Linked DNA regions of Rhinolophus ferrumequinum. The protein of the gene in region 4 interacts with the protein of the main gene of each other region in a pairwise test. Links are inferred from orthologs where the notes say so. Each region holds a gene or a part of one and is shown on either strand. Other genes may lie near its edges.

What was found.
Region 1: the proteins of UBE2W (region 4) and RNF26 interact in a two-hybrid assay, tested with the Homo sapiens proteins (2 studies listed by BioGRID and IntAct). The link is inferred for Rhinolophus ferrumequinum from reciprocal best matches to the Homo sapiens genes UBE2W and RNF26.
Region 2: the proteins of UBE2W (region 4) and RNF111 interact in a two-hybrid assay, tested with the Homo sapiens proteins (2 studies listed by BioGRID and IntAct). The link is inferred for Rhinolophus ferrumequinum from reciprocal best matches to the Homo sapiens genes UBE2W and RNF111.
Region 3: the proteins of UBE2W (region 4) and AMFR interact in a two-hybrid assay, tested with the Homo sapiens proteins (2 studies listed by BioGRID and IntAct). The link is inferred for Rhinolophus ferrumequinum from reciprocal best matches to the Homo sapiens genes UBE2W and AMFR.

The regions. Positions count from the first base shown.
Region 1 is NC_046294.1:88,565,771-88,573,784, forward strand, and holds RNF26 (E3 ubiquitin-protein ligase RNF26), read left to right. Parts: upstream 1-4,885; 5' UTR 4,886-5,185; coding exon 5,186-6,499; 3' UTR 6,500-7,416; downstream 7,417-8,014. UniProt on the Homo sapiens protein: E3 ubiquitin-protein ligase that plays a key role in endosome organization by retaining vesicles in the perinuclear cloud.
Region 2 is NC_046289.1:50,671,866-50,679,458, reverse strand, and holds the start of RNF111 (E3 ubiquitin-protein ligase Arkadia), read left to right. Parts: upstream 1-4,560; 5' UTR 4,561-4,735; exon of another isoform or gene 4,736-4,943; intron 4,944-7,593. UniProt on the Homo sapiens protein: E3 ubiquitin-protein ligase. Required for mesoderm patterning during embryonic development. Acts as an enhancer of the transcriptional responses of the SMAD2/SMAD3 effectors, which are activated downstream of BMP.
Region 3 is NC_046298.1:9,398,569-9,406,849, reverse strand, and holds the start of AMFR (E3 ubiquitin-protein ligase AMFR), read left to right. Parts: upstream 1-4,898; 5' UTR 4,899-5,092; coding exon 5,093-5,359; intron 5,360-8,281. UniProt on the Homo sapiens protein: E3 ubiquitin-protein ligase that mediates the polyubiquitination of lysine and cysteine residues on target proteins, such as CD3D, CYP3A4, CFTR, INSIG1, SOAT2/ACAT2 and APOB for proteasomal degradation.
Region 4 is NC_046297.1:8,840,664-8,848,047, forward strand, and holds the start of UBE2W (ubiquitin-conjugating enzyme E2 W), read left to right. Parts: upstream 1-4,219; 5' UTR 4,220-4,298; coding exon 4,299-4,313; intron 4,314-7,384. UniProt on the Homo sapiens protein: Accepts ubiquitin from the E1 complex and catalyzes its covalent attachment to other proteins.

The DNA.
Region 1 (8,014 bases), on a different chromosome or scaffold from region 4:
TTGGAAGTGCTGAACGGGCTGCATGAAAAAGTTAGACGACCTGAACTTTTCACCAACAATTCATGGCTCTTGCATCACGACAATGCACCAGCTCACACGGCACTGTCTGTGAGGGAGTTTTTCGCCGGTAAACAAATAACTGTATTGGAACACCCTCTCCACTCACCTGATCTGGCCCCCAATTACTTCTTTCTTTACCTGAAGATAAAGGAAATATTGAAAGGAAGACATTTTGATGACATTCAGGACATCAAGGGTAATACAATGACAGCTCTGACGGCCATTCCAGAAAAAGAGTTCCAAAATTGCTTTGAAGGGTGGACTAGGAGCTGGCATTGGTGCATAGCTTCCCAAGGGGAGGACTTCGAAGGCGACCGTAGTGATATTCAGCAGTGAGGTATGTAGCACTTTTTCTAGGATGAGTTTGCAAACTTAATTGTCACATCTCATATTGCAGATGTTCCTCAGCTACCATTGCAAATGTTGCGTTAATTTACGAGTACTTTGGAAGCACAAATTGTAACAGGAAGAAAAGCAAGAGGATTTGACTAGTTAATTAATGTATTCCTTTTTTATCCTAAGTGCTTCAACTGCTCAAATCCACACTGCATAAACCACAGATATTCATGGCGTTTGGACAATTAACACATGTTTTCAGGATATAGGTTATGAGATGTGGTGAAGTGCCTCTCTGGGCCTAAACAGTTATTGCCAGACTGGTGTTTAGGGTTATGGGTTCTGCTGTACCAGTGAAGACCTGGGTCCTGATTATCTGAGGAAAATATTTTTTGGTGTGTTTGTGATTTGTGATACTGGGAGGGGACAGAGTGGAGGGGGCAGGATAAAAACAAACCTTCTACGAATGTACCTTTTTATGTAGCTCTGACTTTGGGACCCTACAAATGATTTGTAAAATTAAAAAGCAAAATTAGGGGCGGCCAGATGGCTCAGTTGGTTAGAGCGCGAGCTCTGAACAACAGGGTTGCCAGTTTGATTCCCACAGGGGCCAGTGAACTGCGCCCTCCACAACTAGATTAAAGACAATGAGCTCCTGCTGAGCTTCTAGAGGGGTGGCCGGATGGCTCAGTTGGTTAGAGTGCAAGCTCTCAATAATGGTTGCCAGTTCAATTCCCACACGGGATGGTGGGCTGCGGCCCCTGCAATTAAAGATTGAAAATGGTGACTGGACTTGGAACTGAGCTGCGCCCTCCGCAACTAGATTGAAGGACAACGACTTGGAGCTGATGGGCCCTGGAGAAACACACTGTCCCCCAATAAAATTTATATTTAAAAAAAGCAAAATTAAATCAAAAAGGAAAAAATCCAACTCTAAAACCATGGTGGTAACATAGATTTTACTGAATGCTTGATGGGGAGATGAAGAGGAGAATTATAGTACACACAATATCACAAAACAAAACTCCTGAATTAAATATTCCTTCATGGTTTTATTTTACCTCTTAATCTTCAAGCTCCCATACCTCTAAAAACCCCTTTTATTCCCAGCTAGCATCTCTCACCTAGCAGAACAAAAAAGCATTTCTCACAGCAGCAGAAACCAACTGATGCTCCAGCAGGTTCCTTGGGGATAAAGGCCTGAGGGCTTCAGTTCATCCCACTACATCTTATATTATAGAATTCTGCAAGGATAGTATCTCCAGGCATTCAGTTTTCTTCACAATCTGGTTTATTTTCTTTACAGTCACTGGGACTCACACTACTAAACAATTTGAACTTCCTCCTAAAGTCAGTTGGTGTGAGTTCTTCCTATCAACACTCTCCAGTCTTCCTTCTCCAGACTGCAAATAGATGATGACTCCCTGCTTGGGCAACTGTGGGTTTGAACCAGCTTTATCTGAAACCCAGTCTTGGAGGAGAAAGAAATATTATCTAGTTAGTAGAGATACTTCTTGAATCAAAATCGAACCATTGTTTTCATGATCACCTCAAGGAGCAGCGATTTACAACCTCTAGGCACTGGGAAGCACCCTGGTTTTTCCAAGGGGGGCGCATCCCAACACTTCTTTTGCATTGTGGTCACATGATATTCTCAGCCATTATGTTTCTAGCTTAAGAATATTTTGTAGTAATTCATTTGTCACAAGAATTTTGACCACAGGTAACCTCTGCCTGCCCATAGATGGGTTGCCAACTGAGTCAAAGGTTGTGGCTCACTTAAGGTGGCTTTAGCTGAGTAATATCTCAGAGCACTGAAAAGGGAGGCCTTGGTACCAAAATAATGGAAATACTGTATTAGAGGATCCTGCCAACTCCAAAAAAGCCTTTCTTGGTGTGCAAATCTGGCTGGTTAATTGCACACAGTGCAGGCACAGCAAGGTTGCTGAGTTTGATTTTGGACTCATTGAGTTTGAAGCACCAGTGAGATATCTGGGAGCTGTCTGTGTTCAGGAAGCAGCCAAAACCTGAACTTTGAGAGAGATTCAGACTGAAGACACAGATTTTAAAATCATCATGTAGAGGAGAAGGCTGAAACGGAAAGAATACAGGAGAGGGTAATGTCCAGGGACCAAGGATGGAGGAAGTGGTCACTGGTGTCAAGTGTTGCAGGAAGATGCTTGCTAGGGAGATGAAGAGGAGAATTATGGTACATACAATATTACAAAGCAAAACTCCTGAGTTAGACATTCCTTCATGGTTTTATTCTACCTCTTAACCTCCAAGCTCCCACACCTTCTATTCCCAGATAGCATCTCTCACAACAGCAGTCACTGGACAAGTAAGATTTTTGAAGAGGAGATGTTAGGGGTGGTGGGATCAAGTATCTTTAAGGGGAAATGGGCATATTCTCCAAGATTTGAAATTGGGGAAAAATGCACAGTGGGACAATAGAAACAATATCAATAGGAATAACCATAACAGACCATGATCTGGGCAGGAGGCTAAAACGAATCTTTATATTATTTTCCTTTGTTTAGAGAGCTCAGCATTTTGTGGTTAGAGTTTAGATTGGGTTGGCAGTAGAGATAGACTGCTGTGTAAAATAAAATATTGTAACAAAATGGGAAGTTGGAGTCTAGGGAGAGGCCAGGGGAAAAACCAGTGGAGTTTTAGAAACTGCAGTCCTTGCTCTGCAGTATAGTGTAAACCCTATTGGGAACCCCTTACCTCAGTAAAGATTTGCTTCATACTGTTAAACAAACAAACAACTTCCATGGCTGGAAACCTTTTTAAAAGAAAGAGTTTATGGGCCATATTATTAGCCAGAAGGGACCAGGTCTTGGGGCATGAAGTTTAAACCACCAGCAGCAGGGTTAAGTAGAAAAGATAAGCATGTCCACAGTCCTGGAGCTGATGAGTGCTTTTATACATTATGTTTTGGGGAAGAAAGATATAAGTTGTTTTGAAAGAATTTACATTAGCTACAGATAAGGGGGGTGGGATAAGGTGAAGAGGGGCAGTCCTATGATAGGAGCACCATCTGTAAGGAAGAAATAGTTCCTACTTTTGATTGGTTACAGGTAACAGTCCTGAAAGTTCATGCATATGCATATGCAGTGGCGGTAGTGGTTGCTAATAAACACCTGGAGGTTGATTCAAAGTGCCAACATATATATTCAGGAATATGATCCTTTAATTGGCCTGCCATTTATTATTCCTGTCTCTTTCACTTTCCCACAGCTGTAATTTAATTTAGAACATCTCTTGTCAATACCTCAGCTTTGTATAAGTGGAACATTAGGGAATGAAGGATTCAGGCAGTGTTCAGGGAGGGGTGAAGGGGGACAGACACTTTCAGGAGTCCAGGCCACAGTGGAGATGAAGAGTTCACTACAAGTAAGAAATTAAAGCAGTGGGGACCAGGGGAAGGATAAGCCCCCAAGTACCCTTCGCTTTAGCAGAGAATACCACCAGGCTTCACAATATATTTGGGGTGGGGTTTCAAATATATTTTGAATACTAAAGAAAAGGATGATTTCTTGAGGAACCTGGAGCCTCCCAGGCCACAGATGTCTAATTAGAGTGTTCAAGCAAACAAAGTAATATGGACTGGGGTAGGAGGGTGAGCTATTTCTGGTCTGTGGCCTCCTTTTCTCAAGGACATCTGAGGATACTGAGAATACCTGATGGGGCTTGAGAAAACAGTTTGGAACAGCATCTTGGGAATCTCCTATAAAAATGTTTCCCCTTATGAACTGCTTGATAGCAGGCCCCGTCTTAAACATTTTTTGTATCCCCCGTTCATTTGTAGGAGCTCAGTAAATAAGAGAATAAATGAAAGAATAGAGGAGGATGAGAAGAAACCCTGAGGACGAGGCGGAGGCGGTGCAATTCCGGAACCCAGCTCAGAGACAGTGACCGCCAACCCGCACCTAAATAGACCACTCCCACAGATCAAGAGAAAGAACAGCTCCCATATTTAGTCCCAAGCAAAATCCTGCTCGTGTCGGGGGCGGCATATTCCTCCCCTGCCTGTCAACTGACCAATCACCGCCTCAAAAGGGCAGAGATTTCAATCTGTCTCTGCCCCTTTCTTTGGAAAGTAAATAAGTTTGGGCGCCGTTCAAATGGACCAATGAGTGCTCGATGTTCCCTGCGGTTGACTCTCGCCGATTGGCCCGAGTTCGTCGTACCTCCCCCTCGGCACGCCTCTGGCTCCATCCCTTCGCACACAAGATGGCGGCGCCCAGCGGAGAGGAGGCCGTACGTGGGGTTTGCTGAGGTTGACTCCCTTTCCCACTCCCCCTTTGGGCGCAAAGCGCTGCGAGTCCAGAGGACGGGGGCCGGGCGGGGACAGGGCACCTGCATAGCTGGACCGCGAGCCTGCGCCCAGCCTGCGCCGCCCCCACCCGGCCCCGGCCCGGTCCGTTCCGGGTCTCCTCTCGGTCTGACTCATTGCTTGGCCGTGGTACGCCACCATCAGGCCTGCAAAGCTGAGTCTGTCCTCCAGCCCGGGCTCACTTCCATCTTAGAGATGTTTGGCCTCTTCCCTCCCAGACAGCCCGCCTTCAAAACCAAGACTGCTGGACCAGCACCTGGCCCCCGTTCCCTCCATGGAGACGCCACTTCCCTCTAACCCACTTCTGTCTGACTCTTGATCCTCTCCCTGGGTTGGAAACTGCTCACTTTCCTTCCAAATTAATCCCCGACCCCCCAAAATATTGGCAACTTTGATACCTCCGTCAACCAGGAGCCAGACTTCCTTTGGACTAACCTCCTTAGCCATATGATGGAGGCTGTGTACCTGGTGGTGAATGGTGTGGGCCTAGTGCTGGACGTGCTGACCTTGGTGTTGGACCTCAACTTCCTGCTGGTGTCCTCCCTCCTTGCTTCCCTGGCCTGGCTCCTGGCCTTCATCTACAACCTGCCACACACGGTACTGACTAGTCTTCTGCACTTGGGTCGCGGGGTCCTGCTTTCACTGCTGGCCTTGATCGAAGCCTTGGTCCGTTTCACCTGTGGGAGCTTGCAGGCCTTGTGTACCCTGCTGTACAGCTGTTGCTCTGGCCTGGAGAGTTTAAAGCTCCTGGGACACCTAGCCTCTCATGGGGCACTAAGGAGCCGGGATATACTACACCGGGGCGTCCTCAATGTGGTCTCCAATGGCCATGCTTTGCTGCGCCAGGCCTGTGACATCTGTACCATCGCTATGAGCCTGGTGGCCTATGTAATCAACAGCCTGGTCAACATTTGCCTCATTGGCACTCAGAACCTCTTCTCCCTGGTGCTGGCCCTATGGGATGCAGTCATGGGGCCGCTGTGGAGGATGACAGATGTTATGGCTGCTTTCCTAGCTCACATTTCCAGCAGCGCTGTGGCCATGGCCATCCTCCTCTGGACTCCCTGCCAACTAGCACTGGAGCTCCTGGCCTCAGCTGCCCGCCTCCTGGCCAGCTTTGTGCTTGTCAGTCTCACCGGCTTGGTGCTACTGGCTTGTGTGCTGGCAGTGACGGTGACTGTGTTGCACCCAGACCTTACCATGAGGCTGGCCACACGGGCACTCAGTCAGCTCCATGCCCGGCCATCCTACCACCAGCTCCGAGAGGATGTTGTGCGACTGTCTCGCCTAGCACTGGGCTTGGAGGCCTGGCGCCAAGTCTGGAGCAGAGTCTGGAGCCGCAGCCTCCAGCTGGCGAGTTGGCCAAACAGGGCAGGGGCACCTGGGGCCCCTCGGGGTGGCCCTAGAAGGGTGCCCTCAGCCAGGACCTGGCGACAGGACACTCCTCCTGAAGCAGGGCCCAGATCAGAGGCAGAAGAGGAGGAAGTCAGGATGGCCAGAGTGACTGCTGCCTGGGGCCGGGAGAGGCTCAATGAGGAGTCTATAGCTGGGCAAGACCCATGGAAGTTGCTGAAGGAGCAAGAGGAGCGGAAGAAGTGTGTCATCTGCCAGGACCAGAGCAAGACGGTGCTGCTTCTCCCTTGTCGGCACCTGTGCCTGTGCCAGGCCTGTACTGAAATCCTGATGCGCCATCCCATCTACCACCGCAACTGTCCACTCTGCCGCAGGGGCATTCTGCAGACCCTCAATGTCTACCTCTGAAAACTGCCTGCCTGCCCACCTCTCCAGCTCCATGCTCCATACAGCCACCTGTACTAGGACAACATTAACACTTGATACCCGGGCCTGGCCTGAATCTCCTCCTGCCCCCATGGCTGTCATTCCAAGCCCCCAAGCCATACACCCAGGACATTGCAATGGGATACTCGGGAAGACTGTGACCTGGGTGGGGACAGGGTAACAGCTTCTCTTTACCTAGTGGGTCCCTGCGATTCTGAGGGTGGTGAGTGTTGCTATGCAAGACCCTGAGACTGTTTGCTGTGGACTCCCCTCCAGCTTGCCAGGGCCCACCCAGATGCCAGCCTCGGGGGTTCCCTGTCTCTGCTTCTGGTTTTTCTGTTGGGGATTTGCAGGTCCTCTCCTCTCCCTGCCCCCTCCCCCTTGTTTCCCCAGTTTGTGCAGCCACAACACATCAGTGTCATTTGAGTGTTTTGGCAACTCAAGGGCCTTGGAATGATCTTGAACCTCTACTTTCAGTCACAACTATCGCTTGGTAGGTTTTGGGGGTAGTATCTCAGGTGCCTTCAGAACTAACACTTCTCCCTGTCGTAATCTTACAAGGCTCCTTCCCAACCTGATCCAACAGCTGGGATCAAGAGTTTACCCCTGGGGGGTGGAGGGGTGGGGTGTCTGCACCTGGCTCTGGGACCATGTACCCTCTGGCACCCCAGCTCCACTAGGAGCCTCAGGAGAGAGAACCAGATTTCTACTCATATCCCTTTCACTCCCCATATCAAAATGACATTCCCCTTCTATTTGCGTCTCCCTGGCATTGGTGAGGGCAGACTGTGCACATCACTAGGGTCCAAACAAAGTAGGGGCCAGGGCCTAGGGGCGTGCAGTTCCCTGAGGGGTCTCTCTGGCTCGGTTTCCAGTGAATAAAGTTCTGTTGATAGTTCTGACAGCCTCTGTGTGCATCTTTGCAAGGGTGAGCAGTTGGTCAGGGTAACTGACATTACGGCAGGATCCAGTCCTGCGGGAGTGACAAGTGTGATCTGTGGGGAACCTGGTGGGGGAAGGGAGAAGATGGGGTGGGAGTACTGTGCCTTGGGGGAGAGCCCATGCCAGGTGTGGGTGGATTAGCTTTCATCCCCTCCAATTTGTGTCCTCATGTGCATGGGTTTTGGAAAGCCCTCCCTATCTTCTGTTTTTGCCAGAATTAAGCCCTGGTAGAGAGGAGTGTGAACTTTCTCATCCCTTGAGTTGGACTTCCCAGCTTTCCTTCTGGTGCCACTCTTCTCAGTAGGGAACTTGGGTTCCTACTGCCTGCAGTCCCTACTCGCTGATCCCTGGAGGAGCTGGTGCTTGTCTTTGTGTCTCTTGGCATAGAATGGTGCTGTGGTGGGCTAGAGTATGGCTGTGGAACCCAGTGGAGGAGAGCTGGGAGCTGAAGTACTTCTGAGGCCTGTCTCTAGCTCACTTATCCAGCCCAGACCTATCCTCATAGGACCAACAGGAGAGGGGCAACACTTCCCCATAATTAAATCCAGGATTATG
Region 2 (7,593 bases), on a different chromosome or scaffold from region 4:
TTAGCTCTATCGTGGGAGTGGGGGAGAGAGGTAAGGAAATGCTCCACGGAGGAGGGCTTTGAGGACTAGATAAGAGTTTGCTAAGCAGATAAAGCAGGGGTGAGGGATGAGGAGGAGAGGGGGAGGGTATTTTGAGACAGAAGGAATAGTAGGTGAAAAAGCAGAGAGATATTGGAACAGCACATTGTTTTCTGGAGAACTATAAGAAATTTGAGAAGTCTAAGTGCGGGGGCAGGGAACAGGGTGTGAAGGGGTGGTATGAAATAGCACTGCAGAATCTGAATTTTGAAGAGCTTTATTTGCCAAGCTAAGGACTTAGGTCTTTATGCTGATGGTGATGGAGAGTCCTTGAAGGATTTTAAGCAACTTAGTGTCCCAAGCAGTTTCTGCCATATTCTGATAGTGGTTTAAGGTTAAATCGGGAGTGGTATGGTGATAGTGGTGGGAGCTGCAGCATAGAAATCAAGAAATTATTGTATGTAATTCAGGTGAGAGAGATCTCCCACCCCAATAATCTACCATTATTCCCCTAAATACAACCTCATTTCACCTGTTTTCTCAGTCTCACGCCTTTTCTGCTCTGGGCTTCCCGCCTTTGATTTGTTGCCCATCTAATAACCGCCCTGCCGTCATGTTAGTGACTATTCTGATTTTTAAAATCTCTCTCTTCTAATTACTCTCCACCCCGCCATTTCAAAAACCTGTTATCTTAGCAGATGGCCTTACCTCACATTTCACAGAGAAATCAAGGTCATTCAATGAGCCAAGTCCTCAATGTTCCCCCTGAAGCTAACACACTTAATTCATTTGTACAATCACTTCCTCCTCCTCCTCACCTGTTTCAATGAAAGGACTCTCCTTTCTTCTATCCAAGGCTAGTTCTTCCATCTGAGCTTTGAATCCCATTTCCTGTGCCTCCATGGAGCATCCCTTTATTTTCATTATCTTTCATCTCTCTTTCTATGCTGACGTGTTTCCCTTCATTTCTATCCTTCTAGATATGTGTCCTATCTTTTTCCATTTACTACCAATTTCATGAAAAGTACTGGTCATTGTCTAACTACACTGCTCAGTCCTTTCTAAACCAGGGTTTCTCAACTTAATATTGGCATTTTGGACCAGATCAATCTTTGTTGTGAGGGGCTGTTCTGTGCATTGCAGGATGTTTAGCAGCATCCCTGACCTATATTCACTAGATGCTAGTAGCGTCTTTCCAAAATATCTGTGGACATTGTTAAATAACCCCTGTGGGTCAAAATCACCCCAGCTGAAATCCCGTTCTAAAATATAGGACAGTTGCTGAAGCTGCTCTTGTTTACAGATATCCTTATTGCCAAATTAATGGACAGTTCATATTGTCGATAACACACTTTGATACTGAAACTCTTTTTCTTACTTGGCCTATTTCCTACTTCTCTTGGTTTTTCTCCCTTTGCTCTGGCCTATCCATATACTTCTGGAACTTCTTTTCATTCTTCGACTCTTAAAATATCAGACTTCCCCAGATATCTGTCTCTTCTCACTTATACTCTGGGTGACTTCATTCAAAAATTTCGATTCAGCTATCACATAGAAGTTAGAGTCCAAATCTCTGTCTTCAGTCCAGACCTCTTTTTTGAGCTCCAGACCCATATATCCAATAGCTTACTGGAATCTTTACTTTGAGTAAATATTAGATACCTCAAACTCAACTTGCCCAATAAAGGAGTAGTTGTTTTCTTTCTCTGAACCTTTTTCCTCATGCTGACCCCAACCAAAAGTCCCAAACCCAAAAAGTTGGGTTTTGCAAGCCTGTGTTTCTTTATTAAATGGCACTACCACCCCATATATCCAATTAGTTATTAAGTCTTCTTATCTCTTGAATCTGTGCCTTTTCATTCTCATTTCCACCACCCTCCTCACTTTTACCTGCCATTCCAACTGGTCTTCACTCCTTTACTCTTGCTCCTCTCCAATCCACCCTCTATTTGGTTTATAAATGGGATCTCTAATAGTCAAATCTATTATTGCTCTGATTGATTTCCTTTAATGGCTCCCAGTATTTTAAGTATAAAATTGTTCTAATACCTTATCCTAGCAAACACAATCTTACTTAAGTTAGTCCATTTCTATCTACTTTTTTTTCTCGCAACTCTTGATAATTTCCCCAAGATACATTCAGTAGCTCCTAGTAGAGAATTTGCTTCATGCTGTTTCAGGTACAGGATTCTGTACCTTAGCATGTGCTGATCTTTCTGCCTCGAATGCCCTTTAGTTGTTTTATTTAACTATTTTTATTAATGTTGCAAAATTTAGTTTAAACATCACTGTAGTTTAAATATCCTGCTGGTTTGACTACTGTGTTCTACCTTTGTATTCTCAGAGCACTATTACACCATCCTATCCCTTCCACATGACAGTGTAAATAATAGATTTGCTTTCTGGGTCTCATAAAACACTGCAAGTAAGGCAGTGATTATTTATTTAGTACTCACAGTGCCCAGCACAATGTCTAGCACATTCTAAGTACTTGATAAATGTTTGTTAAACAGAATACTAAAGACCTAGACTAGTGCAGAGTATGGAGAGGAATGGGTTGATTTTTGATATTTGAGATATTTGAGAGGCACACATGGAAGGACTTATATAATAGATTGATTAGAGGTAGAGAGTGAGGAAGAGGGAGTAATCAAAGATGACCTTGGGGTTTCTAGTTAGATAACTTGGTCCTGTTGACTGAGGCAAGAAAGGCTGAGATGGATCTGGTGTAAATACAATATACCTCCATTTATTTATTTGTTTGTTTATTTATTTATTATTTTTGACATGATGTGTTAGAGATGCTTGTGGGAGATTAAAGTGGAAATGACATATATAACAAACAGCCATATGGGTTTAGATCAGTCTGTGCTGTCCAATAGATATATAATGTGAGCTACAAATGTAATTTCTAGTAGCCATTTTTTAAAAAGTGAAAGAAACAGGTAAAATTAATTTTAATAGTATATTTTATTTAACCCTGGGGTTTCTCAACTGTGCTATTAACATTTTGGGCCAGGTGATTCTTTGTTGTGGCGAGCTCTCCTGTGCATTGTAGGATGTTTAGCAGCATCCCTGGGCCTCTTGTTAGTAGATGCCAGTAGCTACCCCCCCCCCCCTAAGTTGTGAAAACCAAAATGTCTCCAGATATTGCTGAATGTCCTGGGGGGAGAGGCAAAATCATCCAGGCTTGGAACCACTGATTTAACCCAATATATCCAAAATATTATTTCAACACGTAATCAACATTAACAATTATTGAGATTTTTACAATGTTTATATTGTATCTTTAAAATTGAATATATATGGTTTTCACTTACAGCATTTCTCAATTTGTACCAGCTACATTTCACATGCTCAACAACTATATGTGGCTAGAACCTACTTTATTGAGGAGAACAGCTTTAGAAAAGCTGGCAAGAGCTTTAGAAAAAATGTTAGGTCTGGAAATATAGGAACAGTAGGTCTGGAAATGTACAACTCTGAGAAGTTAAGAGTCGATAACAGTTAAAACCATGGCAGTAGATGAGAAGTCCAGACAGAATTTTACATTTAGAGTGAGAAAAGAGGAGGATTGAGGAAAATTCCTAGTACAGTGCTCTTCTAGTTTCCGCACACAATCTGCTATCCTTTCTTCTTATTATTTTAAAATATTTTCTTCACTGAACAAAATTGAGAACATGAGTGAACAAAAAAGGTATTGAGAAAAAGTTTATGACAAAAGGAATTAATACTTATTAAACACTTAATTGGTAAATAATGTCTGAAGCATTATATAGAATGTATTTTATCTCACAAAAAAAACCCTTTGAGGTAAATATTATCTCAATTTATAGAGGAGGAAATTGAGAATTTTTTGTTTTACATATGCTTTTTCTAAATTGAGGTGTATTTGACTTTTTTTTTTTGTGGAAATAGATTTATAAAAGACTAATACATCAGACAGCTAATTGGTATCCCTGGGATTTGAAAGGAAGTCTGATTCCAAAGCCTACATCCTCCTAATGCACATAATGAAACTTTTGCTGTCCACTGATTTTCATGAAATAAGGAGGCGTGTATGATTGCACAGACAGTTCTCAGGATATCTATGACCACTTTTTATCTGATTCTGGAAGCAGATTCATCTTAACAGTTAGGTGCCATGATCTTTGTCATCAGCGAGTATGATTTGGGTATCATTTGTCATTAAACACTAAACCATGATGTTTTTGTTTAATTGTACCGTAAATATGGTCAATAATTCTGTAGTTAGTTGTAATTTTTAGTTACGAAAAAATTAGCTAAGACTTATGTAGTCAGTGTTTTGCTTAAATACCGAACGCACAATCACCAGGGAAAATAAAATACTGTTACAAGCTTCAGGACACCATTCAGCTTCACGAACAGACCGATAAAGCGAGTACAAAGGGGGAGGGCCGGGAAGGAAGGGGCGGGGCAGTGAGAAACAAGAATCTGAGCAAGCGCAGAAACAAACATGTTAATAGAGGCGTGAAGGCTACAGCGCTCTCACTTTCCGAATTGTCGTAAAGCCTCGGAGTGTCGTGCTTGCTTGGTAGAGGAGGGATTGGTAAGGCGGCGGCGGCGACGGTAGCGGCAGAACAGCAGTAGTGGCGGCGACGGTGGCGAGGTTTTCTGTCTGTGCAGCAAAGAAACGCCCGCAGCTTCGGGGAAGGAGTTCCTGTGGGACCAAGTTAGGCATCTGAACCCAAGCCGGGTGAGCTGGGCCGAACCAGGCGCTGCAGCTCGTACAGTTTTGGTGGCGGTGACAGACGCTGCTCTTTACTATAGGGGCCTATTAGGCCGAGATCTGAAGCGCAGATCATTGGCTCTCGACACATCCTTTTCCGCCCTTATATCTCCTGTCTGCCTTCCTGGGCCAGTGATTCCAGGACCCTGGGAAGAGAGGGTGGCTAATGATTAAGGTGAGGGGGCCAGGGGGGAGGGGATCGATTGGAGGCCGCGCGTGCGCGCAACGGGGGAGGGGCCGGCCTGGAGGGGAGAAAGAGGAAGGGCTGCGGCCGCGGAAGGCTGGGGTCGGCGACCGGCCGGTGATTGCTGGCTGCGTAATGACTTAGGGTCTGGGTCTCCGCAGAAGATCTAATTGTGTTTGAGCGAAGCATTCGTCTACAGACACACCCACACCCCACACAGTAAGGGAATGTGGGTAAGGGGATTTCTTTTTCGACTCTACCTAGAGTCTTAGGATGGGGGCTGAGGACCGAGGCGTGGGTGTGCGATTTGACAATGGAGTGATGAAGGTAACCCGCACCCGGGGTGTTGGAGGGCGCTAAGTCAGCCTTCACGGTTGGGGAATTGCCTTCTTATGTGATCAAGGGAACGTCCCCGGAACAGCAGAAATACAGACGCGTTAGATTTTCTATAGAGTTGGCTTGGTCATTAAAAAAAAAAGCTTGATATTCTTATTCTCCTTAGATAATTTATCAATCAGTGACAATGCTGTAGTGGAAATAGCTGTTCTATACGGCAGAAATAGAGGGTTTTCACAATAGTTGTTAAGTAGGTTATAATAGATCTTTACAGATACTTCTTAACGCAAGTCTAAGTTTTAACGTTTAAAAAATACCAGGAAGTATAGGGTATTCATTTAATTTGTTCATGTTTGTAGTGTGGAATGACTCCATTCATTGTATTGTATGCTTTCCTGTTTCTTGATTTATGTGCAGTATGAATTTAGGACTCTGGAGTGGTAAGATGCCAGCTAACAGACTTTATAGTTCTTACACCTATTGAACCTAACTTAATCCAAACTTTATTTCATTTGTTATTTTATGTTTAATTTTCTTGTTTTAGGGACATCTTCAACTAAAAAGAACAGACGGGAAAAGCTAAAGTTCCATTTCCTTTCCCACTTTTGTTGTGTCATTGCTTTCAAATGTTACAATGTAATTTAAATAATACACAGAAGTTCTATAATAATGGTTTTACTTAGCTTTATAAGGGTGAAGATCTGCATTTTGATAGTTTGTTACTCTATGTATTTCAGTAAAAATTTTCATGTCATAAATAAACCATGTTTCTCATTCTAAACAGTCCTTGGTTGTGAGACAAAACAGGATGAGAAAGAAGCCCTTTACTCTAAAAAGAATCTTAAAAAAAATTTTTTTTTAAAGCCTTGTATTATTTTACATTCGTCTGTCTCTCTTGTCATTTAACTTAGGACAAATGACATCTCTCTTGCTCATTTGTTTGCTGCCTAAGATACAGAGTAGTATTCTAAGAACTAGTGAGCGTGTTTATGAATCGGTCTGAACAATATTGTATGAAAAACTAGAAAGAGTCTCTCCTTGTTCATCAGGGGTGCTCTATCTTATATGTGTGGATTCTTCCGTCACTTTTTTCCTTTTGTTTGGTGTCTGTTGGTCACTTGCATGTTAGTTCTGTCACCGGAATTGGTTTTTGAAGAAGGATATAATCTCATTTTGGTGAAAAATACATTATACTTGACAAATTTTACTTCAGTACTTTATTTCTACAGATAATTGAAAAATAGCTATAGTGATGTTTTAAAATACAAGAATGGCAGTTTACGACATGTCTAAAACAAAGGTATAGTCAGCAGATATTCCTAAATAGTCATTTTTACTTTACAATGTGGAATAAAAATCTCACTGAATCAAATTAGATTTTTTTAGATGTTTCTTTTATTATCAAAGAAGAGTTTCTGTAACATGGTTTATTTAGAGCATAATTATATGTGTTTCTGTTTTGACTTTTATTCCAGTGGGCTAGGATTTCAAAGGAGGGGGATGACAATACTAAAAATGGTAGTAATTAAAGTATGTTATAACTTGACATTAATATTCTATTGGTGACATGTTATGAAAGAGTATAGGGCTAGAGACAGGACATCGGGATTTTAGATCTAGCTTTGCTTGCTAGTCATTAGATCTGTAACTATTGATAACCATCCTGGGCTTCAGATCTTTCTCAACTTTTAAATGAGAAGTGTCGGCTAGATAGCCAGTTGTCCCTAGGTCTTAAATTTAATGATTTGTATTTTTAGTTAGGTGTTTCTGGTGTTTATTGTTGTATTCATCGTGATCCAATCTCCAGAAAGAAATGCTATACTGAGAGTATAAATTCCTTCATGATACATACTGTACATTAGGAAAAGAAAACTATGGTGAAGCCATGTTTGTTGTTCCAGGTAATGGTTCTGTCCCATTGTAGATATTAGTCATGATTTAATAGCTCTTATATGATACTAAAAAATGAAACTTTATTTTACTCTTGATAATGCTCTTTAAATCATCCCGAATAACTTTTCTTTCAGAAACCTATGATCACTGTTCAGTAAAAGTCCAGAATTACATTTGAATGCCACGCACCTCTGTCCTTTCTTTCCTGTATCTCAGATTCTTGCAAATAGCTGGCCCAGGTTTCTGCAAGTACTCTAAACCATTACATGAGGAGTGAGCTACAAATGTTTAAAAACAAATATTACTGAGCTTACGTTTTTAATAGAGGTACTGCATTATCATTTAGTCATTTGGTAAGTATTTATTGAATGTCTCATGTTCTTGGCATTGTTCTTGGTCTTCGGTGAAGAAG
Region 3 (8,281 bases), on a different chromosome or scaffold from region 4:
CCAACCGTCTTAAATCATGCATTCCAATTCTCTACATGCTAAATGTGGAATAGCTTTTAAATGAGCTCATGATTAACTGACATGTTTGACTGCCTTCTGTGTTCCGGGTTTGTTTATAAATGAGAGCCCTCTTTTGTATTGTGTAACTACAGTATTGTGAGGTTATTTTCCCTGAGTAATCCGAGTAGTGCATATTCTATATACAACTACTAAGTGGTACTAGAAAACAATTCAATAGGTTGTGAGGAAAAATACGGAAAAAGTCTTACTCAGATGTTTTAAATCATTGTTAGCATTGATATCCCTTTGAAGAAAAGTGAAATTTGTTTTTTTCATAAGTGATGAAGACTTGTGATTTTTTAAAAAGTAGATAATAAAATGGCATTATGATAATTCTGTATATGAATTTGTACTTATAACAGCAGATCTGGATTTTTACTATTGTCTTAACTTGTAACTAGCACAGTGGTTTGGTTATTACTTTGGGTATTTAAGGGTTCCATGAAGTTAGCATTTTATTTGGATAAAACCACCAAATTAGCCAGTCCATTTTTTTTTCTTCCATGCGTAATTAGAAGTGAGGTCCTCCAGATTCAGCAGGCCAGCATGTAGTCAGTTTAGAATTCCCTTTCTTAAGTGATGTGACTCTTAGACTCTCAGGTTTTTAATGATTATTTTTTAAGTACCTGCTCAGTCGCTTGAGATGAAATGCTTGGAGCAGCTTTTCCACATTGGAGTTCCTCAAACTTAATGTTTTTACTAGCTCATAGTGTTTGGAACAGTACATGCCATCGCTAAGACTATTTCAGAGAGTGTAATTTCGTATTTCGCATGGCCAGAGAAGGCATAGTGTTTTTTTTACTGTAAGACTCATTTTCTATAATTATTCTGTTTGTTTGCTATCATTTATTATTTGGGTTAAACTGGACTCACTTCAGTTTCCCTTTGTTGTTTAAATATGTGATGAGAAACCTAATAATGTCATTGACTTGAGCCATAAAACACATTTTAATATTAGCTTGTTTTTGTGTGAAAAAACAGACTAAAATGTAAGTAAGTCTAGATTAAGCCAGTTTAGATGTAATTCGTATTTTAGTTATGGATTGTATCGTAAGACAAATTGGGAAAATGTATTATGCTGTTCTGTTGAGGGAAAACAGTGTATTTAAAATTTAAGCTTTTGGTTACTGTGCTTACATCATAGAATACAGGCATCATTTATAGTTTAGCTTTGAGAATTTTTCTTGTATTAAGTTTATGGGAAATGTATAAAAAACTGGAGTTTTGGTTATATTTTTATATTTGTAAAGGTCGGATTATAATGGTCACTGTTCTTTTTTTAAAAATTTCATTTTACTGTCATTTCAACTAAAAAAATTAAAACAATGATAAAACAATGACTCTGTAATTGTGTGTGTGGCTGCTAACCTTAGTATGTCATCAGAAGTCCTGAATGGTTCTTTGTCATTGTCAGTGGCCAGAGGCCATTCGTTAAGAGAAAGGTTGGCATCCTAGCAAGGGCCTGAAGACCTGAGCCGTCAGTGTTGCCCTCCCCTCGCACTCCTCCATTGTGTGTGTTAGGAGTGTTCCTAAGCAGACTCAGTATCCTGCAGTGTGAAGGGGTCACACTGGATTTGGAACCAAAGGACAGAAGGACGGACGGACGGATGGATGGGGTCTACCTATCTATTGAGAAGTTATTTTACCACACAGGTGTGTCATTATATCATTGGGGACTTCGTTTCTTCACCTATAAAGAGATTGTTGACTCATAGTTTTTTTCTCAAACTTACCTGGAAGTCATGTTCTGTGACACTATGCTTGCTGCTTGTGTAATACTAATTTCAGCATCTTAAATAGAAACAACACACCCAAAATAGAATATATGTGTAATAAAACCATAGTCTTGAAGCTTTATATCTGAACAAAAGTTGAAGAAAACCTGATAAAGTTACTGCAAAGTTCTGAAAACTTGACTACTTGTCTATAGGTAGTTCATAGTAGCCACCAAAGAGCTATGAATATTCTGAAAAGAAAAGCTAAAAATTGAAAGTATACCCATTTGTGTTTTCCATATAAACTTGAAAAGTTGGTTATTTTATCCTCTTCTGCTGGATTTCGTAGTGGAACACTGTGGTCCAGCTAATGAAATCAGAATTCCATGCGAGATACATTTAAGGCTACTGGATTAGATAAGGAAGTTCACTTCCTAGGACGCTGAGAATTTTAAAACTACTCAGTCTTTCTCACAGGACAGTGAAAATCAAATGAGATCATGAAGGGTTTCAGATATTTTAAAAAATGAAAGCAGTAATGTATGTAGGTATGAATCTTACTCCACATAAATTCTGGTTTCTCTGAAATGACATTTATTTCTGTTAAATCTAGCCACCATCTCACAAAGATGGCAGGAAATTCAGTCTTTTCATTGGCAATGGGGCTACCTACCCAAAGTCTCACAAGAGTCAATCCAGAAGGCATAAATGGTACTCTGAGATGAAGATGGGGGTGGGGAGAGCTCGTTTTCATTGTGTACCCCACTGATACGTTCTTGTGCAAGTTGGAACGCCCCTTCAAGTCTGGTGCAGTTGCCTTCCTGCCACCCTTGGGCCTCAACTGACAGGTAGCCCCTTAAACCTGTGGTCCAGCCTTCCTGGTCACACCCTTTATCCCTCTGTCTTGCCTCCTCCCCTGGTCCTCTGATGGAGTGGGATCCAGTCCGAAGAACCAGTTGACTTTAGAAGTGGGTAATGTCCTTGCCAAAAAAAATCCTTCAAAGAAGGATATGCAAAAGCCTCCTTGGAGTGGGAGAGGAAAATTTTTAGTAGAACAAATATCCTAGTAAAATATCCAGACACAAACCTTTGAAATCTTTTAAAATGCAAATAAAAAATAACCTTATATAGTTGGGTTAATTTCACCTATTCTCATATTGAATCCTCAGAAAGTTTAAGCCTCTAAAAGTTTAAGACTAATTTAGACTATAGTTTTTATGTATTCAGAAGCAAAAGTAAAGAGTTGCTATTAAACACTTTACAAAGTTATTCCAGAAAACAGGTTGCCTAAAGTTCTTTTAACACTTTGAAAGTAGTGATTATATAATTCAAAGGACTGCAGCACTTTGAAATTCAACGTGGTGGAATATTGTAATATAATATGGGCAGATCTATCATCAGCTGTCTCATGGTGACAGGACAAGTTTGGTGTGGCATTTTGTAACTATTGTGATTTGGACTGAATATAAATCATCTCAGTGTGGTTTAGAAATTATGGGGACTCAAACTACAACAGTTACTTCCCTGGAAAATTACCATTTTTTCCAAATAAAGCTTTATTTTACCAATAAAGTTGAAAGTTTAGCATTTTAATTAAATGGCAGTGGGGAGAACCATGGGGAACTGAAGTCTAATATAGACTTCATGACTGTGTGTGTGTGAACCACTTGCCCTCTGCCAAAAGCTGAACTGTTGTGTTCCATCACAGGCCCTTTAATAGGATGTTTCTAAAAATTTCCAAGTGGATGGCAATACCTTAAGAGATCTTTTTTGTTTTCTAATTAATAGATTTTTGAACTATTAGGCATAAAAGACCTTGAAGATAATATAGTCCTTTTCTTTTTGAAAGTTTATTAGATGCAACAGATACATACTGAGCACCTACCATGGGCCAGGCACTTACAGGCCTTTGGGATACAATGAAGAATAAGACCCCCAAGGTCATGCTTTTGTTTGGCAGCACTTTTTTTTTTTTAACAGCTTTATTGAGCTGTAATTCACAAATTGAGATCTATCTCACCATTTAAAGTGTGCAATGAAATGATTTTTAGTATATTCAGTTGTGCAACCATCACCACAGATTTAGAACATTTTCATCATTAAGCTTTTACCCCCCAGGTCCCTCATCTCCCTATCCCTAAGCAACCCTTAATCTATGCCTATTCTGGACATTTCATATTAATGGAATCACAACATGTGGCCCTTTGGTCTGGCTGCTTTCACTTAGCACGGTTTAAAGGTTTGTCCAGGTTGCAGCATATCAGTACTTCGCTCATTTTTATAGCGGAATGAAACTGCATTGTATCCCTTATCTATGGATTCATCATTTAATGAACATTAGGGTTGTTTCCACCCTTGGCTATTAACAATGCTGCTATCAACATTTGTGTACAAGTTCTGTGCGGACCCATGTTTTCATTTCTTTGGGTACACACCTAGGAGTGGAATTGCTACGTCAAATGGTCACTCTTACGTTGAACTTTTTCAGGAACTGACAGACTATTTTCCAAAGTACATGCACCATTTTACATTCCTACCTGGTGTATGAAGGAACACATTTTTACTTCTTGCTGAACTAGGTTCGTCTTAGACTCTGCTCGAGACTACTAGTAAGCAGCAGAAACTTGACAGCTTTTTACTGGCGAGAAATTCACGACTTGATTAATACTTTCTTTTGGGATCAGGGCCTCTATTACTTCCTCTATTATTCCCGTCTCTTTTGTCCATCGGGGAAGCTGCTAGGCCCACAGGTGTGCTCAAGAATAACCTACTTATGGGGGTTAAAGGTAACGAAGGGGCAAGGGGCCAGACACGCCTGGTGGCCCGGGTCCCTGCATCCTACAAACGGGCCACACAGCTTGGGTCTGACCGCCCGTCAGTGCCGTCGGGCCTGGGTGGCGCGCTTCAGCTCGGACCCGGCGGGTGCCCCATGGGTCCGCGGCCCAGCTGAGCTGGGCAGTCGGCGGAGGATAATGCTGGGTGCCGGGCCCCAGGGCCTGCCGCAGCGGCCTTCCCTGGCCGGGCCGCGGCGCGGCCGCTGGGGGCGGGGGACGGAGGCCGCGCCCCCGCTCCCATCCCGCCCGCACCCGGCAGGAGGCGACGGCCCGCCCCGAGCCAGCCGAGGCTCTTCCGCGCCGGCAGGGGCAGCAGCGGGAGCGGCGCGAGCGGTCAGGAGCGGCCCGGCCCGGCCCGGCGCGGCAGCGGCAGCGGCAGCAGCTGCAGCTACGCAAGAGCCCGTGGGCGCCGTTCGCGAGGCCGCTGCAGGGGCCCGGCCGCAAAGCGGGGAGGCCTGCGGGCTGGAGGGCGCCGCTGCCGCCATGCCGCTGCTCTTCCTCGAGCGCTTCCCTTGGCCCAGCCTCCGCACCTACACGGGCCTCAGCGGCCTGGCTCTGCTCGGCTCCATCGTCAGCGCCTACCGCTCCCTCAGCCCGCCCGAGGCCGAGGCCGGACCCGGGCCGGGCGAGCGGGAGCCGATAACGGCCCCGGTGCAGCCAGATCCGGCCGCGGTCGCCCAGCTGAGCGCCGGGGGACCCGGGGCCCGCGACGTGGCCCAGTACCTGCTCTCCGACAGCCTGTTCGTGTGGGTAAGCGAGGCTGTCCGGGCCGCGGTGGAGGAGCGGGGCGGGTGGCGGGGGCCGCCATGTCACCCATTATCTGTGGGGGGCGTGGCTGGGGCAAGGGTCCCCCCACTGACCTCCGTGTGCGAGGCGGGGGGGGGGCGGGGTCCCACCCGCGAGCGCGCCGCTGAAGGAGACTGTGAGGGGTTGGGGTCGCCGCTGGGTGGGAAGCAGATCTGCTGGGGTCATGAGGAGGGGCAGCCGGAAGGGCGGGCAGAGGTTGAGCGCTGGACCAAGGGACTTGAGAAAGTGGTCGGGGCGCCAGAGGTCGCGGCGGGAACCAGGGGGAGGAGAAGACAGATGGAGGGAGAGGAAGTAAAGTGCTCGCGGGGAGTAAAAGGTGGGAGCAGAGTCGGGGTTTTGGGGGACCGTGGGGAAGGAAACTGGAAGACCTCTAAGAGGAGGTTCCCAGGGAAAGACTTATTACAATTGTGAAGGGGGTTGAGTTGGTTGTCAAGCCCGGGAACGTTGTCAGCGGGTTTCAGGGAAGAGGAGGGGGCCGAGACGGAATTCAGGTGTTGAGTGTGGGAGAATTGGGGGCCTTTGGGTGTGTTTGGATATTCCTGTTCGGAGAGAGGCTGTCTCCCACAACTTTTTTTTTTGCCATTTAATATGTGATGGTCCTCTCTGGGTCAAACGAACATACAAACCCTGCTTCCTTCCCTGTCGCTTTTACGTGATGATTCATGACGGTTTCCTTTGCTGTCTGAAGACAGCAAAACATTCGGACTCAAGGGGCGGCTCATCATTTAAACTCGGAATTTCTTCTTTTAGTGGTCCATTTTAAAACACGGTTTCCAGTGTGTCTGTCAATGCAAGATAAGCACCATTTAACAAGGCAGAAATGCTGGTTTTGCTTGTTAGAACAGATAACTTCCGGCTGCGCAGATCAACAGTTACTTTGGCTAAAGAACTTTGCTTCCACCTTGGCTTTGAATGCCTCTTATGTAAACCCCACAGTGATCAGGAAAGTTGCTCCAGGATTTCAGTGTGTCACCTGGGTTTACTGTGGCGTCTTGGGTCTTGTCTCCGCCCGCAAGTTCCCATTTGGGGTTGAGAGTAGGCTGTAAATGACTGAGATTAATATTCCAAGTGTATAGAATGATAGGCAACTCATTTGTTATAATTAATCCCACTGTGCTTCATCAGGAGGCAGTGGGATTTGCGAACTCTGTGGGCTGTGGATTAAGTCTCCTGGTCCTTCTGATGAAGAGATTAGCAGAAGGCAGTGGAGGGGAAAGTTCCATTCCTGCACTTTTGTGTAAAGCTGAACCATACAGAACCGGAAAAGGGAGAAGAGAAGGAATTCCATTCACATCTCTTACTTAATTTCATATCTATTTTTGCGTTTGAGTTAGCAGGTAAACGACTTAAAGTGATGTGAAGAGTGCTTTTGCCAAATGTTAAGATTACAATGTAGTTTTGATTTTTTTTAAGTGTATATAAATAAGTGTATATAAATATAAATAAGCCTTTGAGAAGGAACCACTATGGTCTTTATAAATAACAACTACTAGTATTGTTTCGTGTTTTTTTCCCCCTAGTTTTTTTTTTACAAAACCCAGTTTCAAATTCCAATGTGAACACCTCTTCATAAAACAAACATAAAGCTGTTGATTTTTTTCCTGTGAAAATTATTTTAAGAGAATTTCCTTTTCTCCCCGGCTCTTTGAAGCCTTGCCTTATGCAAGTTTATTGTTTCTTCCTGTCTGTTGATGATTTGTTCCTTTCTCAGTTGACCTTCTATACTGTTTTTCTTCCATCTTTCTTCTGTGGTTTTACACTTTCATCTTGGCCCTCCTTGGTTTCTGAGACTCCAGTATGCATCCTAAGTTTTCCTCTTCACTCATTACATAGTTTCTGCTTTAGCAGCGGAGCAGGAGTCACAGTCTGGAAGACTTCCTCCTGGCCCGACAGATAGCATTTTTGAGTGAATAGATGGCAGGGCCTTTGTCAAAATGGATCCTTTTTGCTCCCTGCCCCAAAACATTCAGATTCCATTTTGTAAAAACAAAGCAAGATAAAACAAAACTGATCTTTCTGCCAGTTTGCAAATCCTGTTATCTATTGTTTGGCATATTGGAATCTCTAAAACTACCTTCGGAGAGCACAACATAGATTAATATGTCTGATGGCATCTCAGGAGGTTTTTGATTAATAAACCCAATTCAAAACCTTTCAAAGGTACTGTTTGAGGCACTCTGGAGGGCATAGCTGTGAACGCTTTCCCCCTACCCTGAAAAGCAATCCATACACAAGTATGGCAAAATTTGATAAGTGGTAATAGACATATAAAGAAAATGTGGAGTTTGGAGGAGAGAGAAACTGACCTGAGGAAGGATGCATGGGAGGTGGTATTTGAACCCCGTCTTGGAAGGTGGGCAGAATCTCAGCAAGCGACATAGGGCATTCCAGGTAGAGAAAACAGCCTAGGACGCTCAGACTGGTGCGTGGACAGGGCATAAACTGGGCTGTTAAAATAAAGCTCTGTTGGCTCCTCTGATTTCACGGTGAGGTTGGGAGGGTGAAGGGGAGACCCAGGAGGTGGGGGGAAATGACCCTGCTGTGTGAGAGAAAGGGAGAGGCCAGCAGCCCCTCTGAGGTATATTTCTCCAAGTGTGGATCTCTGGCAACCTGGTTTGTTGTCACGGGGGTGCTTGTAAAATGTAGTTTCTCAGGCTCTGCCTGAGGATCAGTTTCAGGGAGAAGGACGGAGCCTTGGATCTTCATTTTGATTAATGTCCTTGGCGATTTTAGGCACTCTCAATCAGATTCTACTGGTTGAGAATCTGATTAGGAAGAGGATGGGGTGTGGGGCTAATGTTAGAGTGTGTAAAGCTTCCCTGCAGTGCTAAGGAGTATGGATGTTGTTCTGTGGCCTTGGGTTTA
Region 4 (7,384 bases):
CTGTTCCCCTTCCTAAATATCTCGAGAATCCTCCTTTGCTTCCTCTGTGCCCTAGTCCAAGCCCTCATCTTCCATTGGTCACACTCTTATAATGGCCTTCTTTTCTGATTTTTGTTTTCTGATCGTACCTGATCAAATCTGTTCAGCCACCAGAGAAGTCATTCCAAAACACAAATCTGGCCTCACCACTTCCCATTTGAAAAGACCTCAACTTTGTCACATGGTTTCTAAGGTAAAGTCTGCCAACCAAGCCTGCCGTGACCAGGTCTTGCCTGCCTGTCTTCCACCTCCTTCCATCAGTTTGTTGGGCAATAACAAATTGTCATCCTCTGTAAACACCAATTACATGGTTAACGCTCCCTCTGCCTGGAAAGCCTCTTCTCCCCTTTCTCCTCTGCTCAGGCCTTGGCTCTTCCAGGAAGCCATCTTCAGGTCCTAGGCAAGACCACGTGACCCTCCCTTATGATCCCCTCATGGCCAGTCAGTAGCTTTTGTATCAAAATCCTGATTGTAAGCAATGTGAACATGGGGACTGTATGTTACTCATCTTTATATCCCCAGTGCCTGCCATTTAATATATGCTTTTTGGTCAAAATTGCCACTTTTCCTTTTTTTTTATATTTTGTCAAATTATGAATATTCACCAATTAGATATATTTGGGGGCATCAGATATTCTGGGTGAAATGTAAAATCCACCTTGCCTGTTAAGTTTCATAGTTTAAAATGAATCGATTTGATTAGAGTTACTTTTATTTTCACACCTCATTCATATGGGTCATTAAGAAATGGAATTGGAAGGACAGGATTGTGTACTAGTTAAATAATTCAATCTGTAGAGTCATGGAGTTCGAGTTCCCAAGGTAGAATTCTGATTCTGCTGTTCATAAGGTGGGTGTCTGGCAAATTCCCCGGCCTCTCGAAGCCTGTTTCCTTCCCTAGAATGTGGGAATCGGTTTATGTACCTCATAGTTCTGTTTTAAAGATTAAATAATACAGGAAATACAAGTGCCTCTTATGGTGGCACATGCAAATATTCAATCCAAGACAGCTGTTATCATTATTGCCCTTACTAAGGGCAGGTCTGGGAGGATGCCCCATGTGGGTGAGGACACTGGATGGGGTGGGGAGAGGCAGCATCCCGACCTTGCAAGTTTATCAATGGCAGGCTCAGTTCAGAGCAGAGTGTCTGCCCAGACTCTTCTGTGCTCACAGTGATGGGAAATTTGGGGATCTTGGTATGGGTATTTCTCAGTCACTGCCATATACCCCACTTCTCATCTCTAGCCAACATCACATCTGCCCACAGAAGAAAGAACAGAGTCATCTGGAAGATAAAGTAGGTACCGCGTCTCATCTACGTGGTGCTGTGCACTTCATGAAGTTCCTTTACACATGGTCTCATCAAGACTCCTCCCCAATCCATATGCTGGCATTTTTATCTCCATTTTACAGATGACAAAACTAAGGCCCAGAGAAGTTTAAATGACCAACTCCAGGTCACAGAACTGAGAAGTAGCAGAGTTATGATTCAAATCTAGGCCTTTTGATTGCAAGTCTAGTGCCTTTTTAACACATGGGTCCTTCAGGTTACTATGACTGTTTGGTTTCCCATATATCTTCCAGTTTTCTGCCAGAAAATGCAGCTGCTTTTAATCCTCTATCACAGGCTGTGCCTTTCCTTGAAAGGGAAAACTTCAGGCACATACACAGCTTGGGTCTATCCTGGTTTTTTTTTTTTTTTTTCTTCCAGGGAGGCAGAGGTGGGGGTAGTTTCTGAGATAAGAGAGAATCACCTCCTCTAACCTGGTGGCCATTTCTAATTGCTGTGTAAATTTAAAAATGAATATCATTATCCAATCTAACAAAATAATAATTATTCCTTTGTATCATCTAATATCCATTTTATATTTAAATTTCTTCCAGTTATCTCAGAAATATCTTTTTACAGTTGGTTTGTTTGAACCAGGATCCAAACAAGGTTAACATTTGTTTAATATGTCCCTTAAATATCTTTTATTGCAATTTATGCTATTAAAAAGAATCTTTAAAGGTATGGGAAGTTTTAACTTTACTGTTGCTGAACTGTTTACAAAGTGATTGTACCAATTTCTTTCCTACAGAGTTTATGAAAGCTCCACTTCCTCTCCCACTTTTGGGATTGTCAGACATTTTACCTTTTGCCTATCTGATAGTAAGCCCCACTCTAAAGAAATGAGATGTGAGCCTAGTCTTCAAACATTGTGTAATCAAGTGTTTTAGATATAAAAATTTCATGCCCTTTGGCTATAATTACATGTCCCAACCCCATCTGAAGGTCACTATTTTATCCCGAGTACATTGGGACTTTCTATTATATATTACTGAAAGAATGAAGAAGATAGTGAAGTAATTATGTACTATTTAATATTTCCTAGGAAAGATAAGCCTGGTACTGACTTTCCCCTCTATTACGATCCTTTTTAACACACAGAAAATTCAAGGGACCAGATGTTGATTTCACTGTGAGGACTGTCAAGATTCCTGTAACCCCTTATTAGTCTTTGTAATGGCAGGTTGTTGGTTCTGATGATGTCATAATGCTTTGCGGGGTCACCTGATGTCACTTACACCTTAGGGAGAATTAGCTTTTAAACAGTGAACCTTAGATGGTAAAATCTGATCTTCTGGAGCCATTTTCTGACATCATAGGAATAAAAAAATCTCCAGAAGAAAATAAATCTGGAAAAGTTTTCCTCTTTCGTTGGAATATATGGGTTTTACTCACAGTTGAAATGTTGCCAACACACTGGGCTAACACCTGATGTGCTTCGGGGTGATTCTTGGTTGCCAAGAGCCTCCAAACATTCCTTAAGAACACAGTCGTTTCGCACAACAAAGGGAAAGCCAGCCCATTTCTGGCAATGAGGGTGGAAGTCTGAGAGAAAAAAGTAAACCAATATAACTTCCTCTGTACTGATGAAGAATAGTGTGTTTATTATTATAACATAGAATAATTGGTGTATTTTAAGATCTTTTTCCTTTTTGAACACACTTTACGTTAGGGAATTTCAAAGAACATAATCTAGCTTAAGAGTGGAAAGGATGATAGCCTACACTGCTCTTATATTTAAATATTAACTTCTAGAAATTTCTAAAAGATCTCCGAATTAATGAAAGATTTGAAGCTTTCATTCTGGTAAAGTAAAAGTTTTCTATGTGTCAGCTACCTTAATTTTTTAGAGCTAGAACACGAGATGCAAGCCTTCGGCTACCATTTTCCTCTTGTAAACCAACATCCTGAATTCTGTAATAGCTTTTTTAAAACGTGGCTTCTGATAAATGTTGGCAGAACTGGTGCATTCCCAGAATAAATTCCGTATGTTGAGCTTTCCCTACTCAGATACATCCCTAGGTCGAATGACCACAAAACTGCCCACCATGAGACAGATTGAAGTTTGGATGTGATAGAAGATATGTGTATATTATAACGTGACGGTGGTACTAAAAAAAGAAATTCATGTCTAGGGGCAAATGTCTCATCAAATGCCAATGCTGTGACAACCGTAACTATTACTGCTACACACGTGAATTTTAAATGGAGGGGATGGAGTGAAGGGGCGGAAATCGCACACAGACGAAAAAACTTCAAAATTTTCCCTTCCCTTTTGGGCAAGTTACAGCGCTACAAATCTACCCTTGTCTTTAAAGCAAAATGCTGTTCTGCTCTCAATTCTCATCCCATTGTACAAGGAAATCTGTGTCTCTCTTCCCCGAATAGGAATATGAGAAGCCCTTCAGATTCGAAAAGTCAAAAAAGCCCCGCGGAAAGTTTTGTCTTGCCCCAAGGGTCTGAAAGTGGGCGCCGTAGTGTGGAAAAAACATACATCCGAAAGGGAAAATCTGTAAACCATACACCTGTGGTTGGAAAAACAAAACAGAACAAAACAAAACAAAACAAAAAAACTCACAGTCCGGACATCATCAAGATCTCGAGACACAGACAGACAAATAAAAACAACTGTGGCCAGGTCAGAACGGGACCCGCGTTTCCCAAGCGATCCGCATGGCGGGTGGGCTCACAGCCGGCGCCAGGGAGCGGGATGAAACGGGTGACACGGACAGCGCGGGTCACGGCGCCCCGCCCGCCCCTCCCCGCGGGGGCCCAGCGCGCCAGCCAATCCCGCTTACGCCACGCCCATCCCTCGGAGGCCCCGCCTCCCGCGCCCGGGATGCTGGGCCCCCACGGCGTGACGTAAGCACGGCAGCTCCGCCCCCTGCGTCTCTGGCCTCGCCAGCCCTCGGGGGGGATGGTTCCATCATGGCGTCAATGCAGGTGAGAGGAGTTTGCAGCATCTGGGCGGGCGAGGGAGCCGCGGAGAGGATGGGAGCGTTCCGTCGGGGGCGGCATCTGGGACTCGAGGGCACCCCGGCGGGCTCGGGAGCGGCCCTGGGGGCGAGTCCTTCCCCAGCCTTAGGGCGTTGGGGAGGGGTGAGAAGCGGCGAGAAGAAGGACGTGGGGGGGGGGGGCGGTATCGGTTGGCCGAAGCGGACACCAGCCGGCCGGGAAGTTGGGGGATAAAGAAGGCGAAGGGAAGGGAAGGGCAAAGTTTGACGTTGGCTCGGCGGCAGTAGTCTGGGAGCCGTGTCCCGCTCGGACAGACGGCCGCTGCAGGCCTGCCCGCCGGACCCAGGGATGCCTTTTCCTCCGCCGTCCCCGGCCTGGCGGAAACAGCTGCTCTCGCCGTTGTCGCGCAGGGAAGGGCGGCCCTGAGAGGGGCTGAGTGTGGGGGAGCTGAAAACGCGTTCCGGGAAAAGACGGCTGGATGCAAGGGCTCTCGGCGGCCTCTCCTGAGGCCTCCCACGCCGGCCTCTCTCACTGCGCGGCCCCCGGCTCTCTTCCCTTTGACTCTTAATCCTTTGCCACTTGGGTACCTTCCTCTGCCAGCCTCCTCACTCTCAACGAACAGCAGCCCACTTTCTCACTCTCCCCGAAGCTGCCCTTCGCCCGTCGACATCATCGCCTCCTAATATGCAATGTCCCGGAGAGCCGAGTCACCGACCCCCTTAGAGCTCCCGGGATAGAGAGCTCGCCCTCAATTTTTTTTTTCCCCCTAGGGTGCCCCACCCATGCAGTCGCGGTCCGACTACAGCCCTTTGCCCTTCTTCCCCTGATCTCTAGTGGAACCTTAGTTTGGTAGAAGGTGTTTGTTAACTCGTGTCATAGCTACCTGGCTTGGCAATGCATGGTTTTCTGGCTTTCCAACTTAATGTAACCCTTTTTTTCAAATTCGAGGAGTTGGTTTTTTTTTTTTCTGGCAAAGATGGCAACCACAAGTGCAGTGTTTTAGAGATTGACTCCGCATTATCTATGGCCTGCATTTGATTTACAGATGAAGACTACCTGTATCAAAAGACATAGGAAGAGAAGGCAGAACTCCCGTCTGGAGTGTCAGCCGAGCGCTTTTTAGAGTTTTTCTCGAAAGGATTTTGTGCTTTTGTTTTTAGAAGAATAAGCAAGCCTCCCTATACACCCCTCCGTTTTTGTTTTTTTTTCCCTCCTTTCTAAGCATAACAGTGGTTTTCTTTTATCTCTTTTATTGCATCATCTTCCTCTTATGCACGTATTTGCTTCACATTTACTTACGTGCTTTTGGGTTATCCCCTTTCAACCTGTTTGCCACACGGTATTCTTTTGACTTTTGCTTCTCCCTCTGGACTTTCCTGGAGAATTGGAAAAAAATGTATATAACATTCCTCGTTGAAAAGATGTCAGCGAAATGGTGCAGGGAAAAAACAAGAACAATTTCAGGAAACATACTTTACACTAATCTCCCCAGAGACGTTAGAGAAGTTTCGTCATTTGAGACCAAAAAAGGAACTGTGAAATACTCGTTGAACAGTAGATGGGCTATACGACCAATTTAAGATTATTTGTGTTAAGAGTAAAACTGTTTTAAGACTAAAAATTAAGCTTACTATTCATAATATTTGTGATTATATTTCACAAGAAAATAATAGGGATAACTTATTAGCTAGTTAGATTTAGGCTTCCAGTCTGGAAAAGGCAGATTTCAGTTTTTAAGAGAAAAATGAGTCAGTATGGAACTTAATGTTGATAATCTTGAATTTTATGTGACGACTTAAACAATGGGGAAAAATACTTGCCAGTGTAATACTGCATTTTTCTGTGCCCCAAGTACTACCTTTGTCTTATCGCCTTTTATTTCTTTGTGTCTTCTGATGAGAGGAATGGAAAACTGGTGTTCCCTGGTGTTTTAATTCAAGTAAAACTGAGTCTTTTATTTGTATTTTAAAAACATCTCGTACAGATTTTCTGGTAGTATCTTGAAAACTATTTTAATATAGATAAATCCAGCTTTTTGAAACACAGCACTCCTTCCAATGTGGTTCTTCTGTCTTTGGTGAACACATTTTTTTTCCTGACCATCTTAATAGCAAAGTTGAACTTTTTTCCCGAAATAACTGTTACACATAAAATTGCAGCCAAATTATGACATTTGTTCATTCGCTCATCAGTTATTTTTTGAGGGCCCACTCTGTCAGATACTCATCGAATTGCTGGCGATGGAGAAGTGAACAAAAGCAGAAAAGATTTCTGCCCTTGTGGATGTTAACAGTCTAGTTGGGGAAGTCAGAGAAGAACAAAATATTTAAGTTAATTGTGTCCTGTGTTAGAAGGTGATAGTGCTGTGGGAAAAAAGTGTGGAAGGAGGTTAGGAAATGGATATTTTGGGGTTTCAGTTAGAGTGCTTGGGAAAAGATGTGCCATACATGAATGCGTCTCTGACCCTGCCTTTATCTAAAAAGTTTTCAGATTTCTTACACCAGGATATTACTGCTGCTGAAGAGGTTACTTAAGCTCTACCAGGAACTGTATTTTAAAAACATGCATGTTATACAAATGTAACATAGGATTTGACTACTTGAGTTGATAAAAATGAAATAAATTAGTCTTTAAGATCAATAACATCAATTAAGGATAGACTTTGAATTTCTCGTTCAAAAAATATTTATACTCGGAGAGTATATATTTTACAGCTGAGGTTATACCTGCTTTAGTGTACCCTATCCGTGCCTCCCAACCTTTTTTCCGGTTGTGGTACACGGGGAAAATAATTTTTGACTGGCATGCTGAGGTGGGTGGGGTTGTGGAGGTTGGAAGCATCTGGCTAGACAGTGAGAGTGGTTGGAGACGGTCAGTGTCCCAGCACACCTGTAATGCTGAGAAACTGCTCTAGAACATTGCTGGAGTTGTTCTTTCATACCCAGTTCAAGATATGGTGACTTTCAAACTGATGTGAGGCTTGGAGATATTCATTCCCGTTTTTTTCTCTTTTTTTCCTCCTAGAGCAAAGTCACAAATCACCAAGTAAGATTATGGTT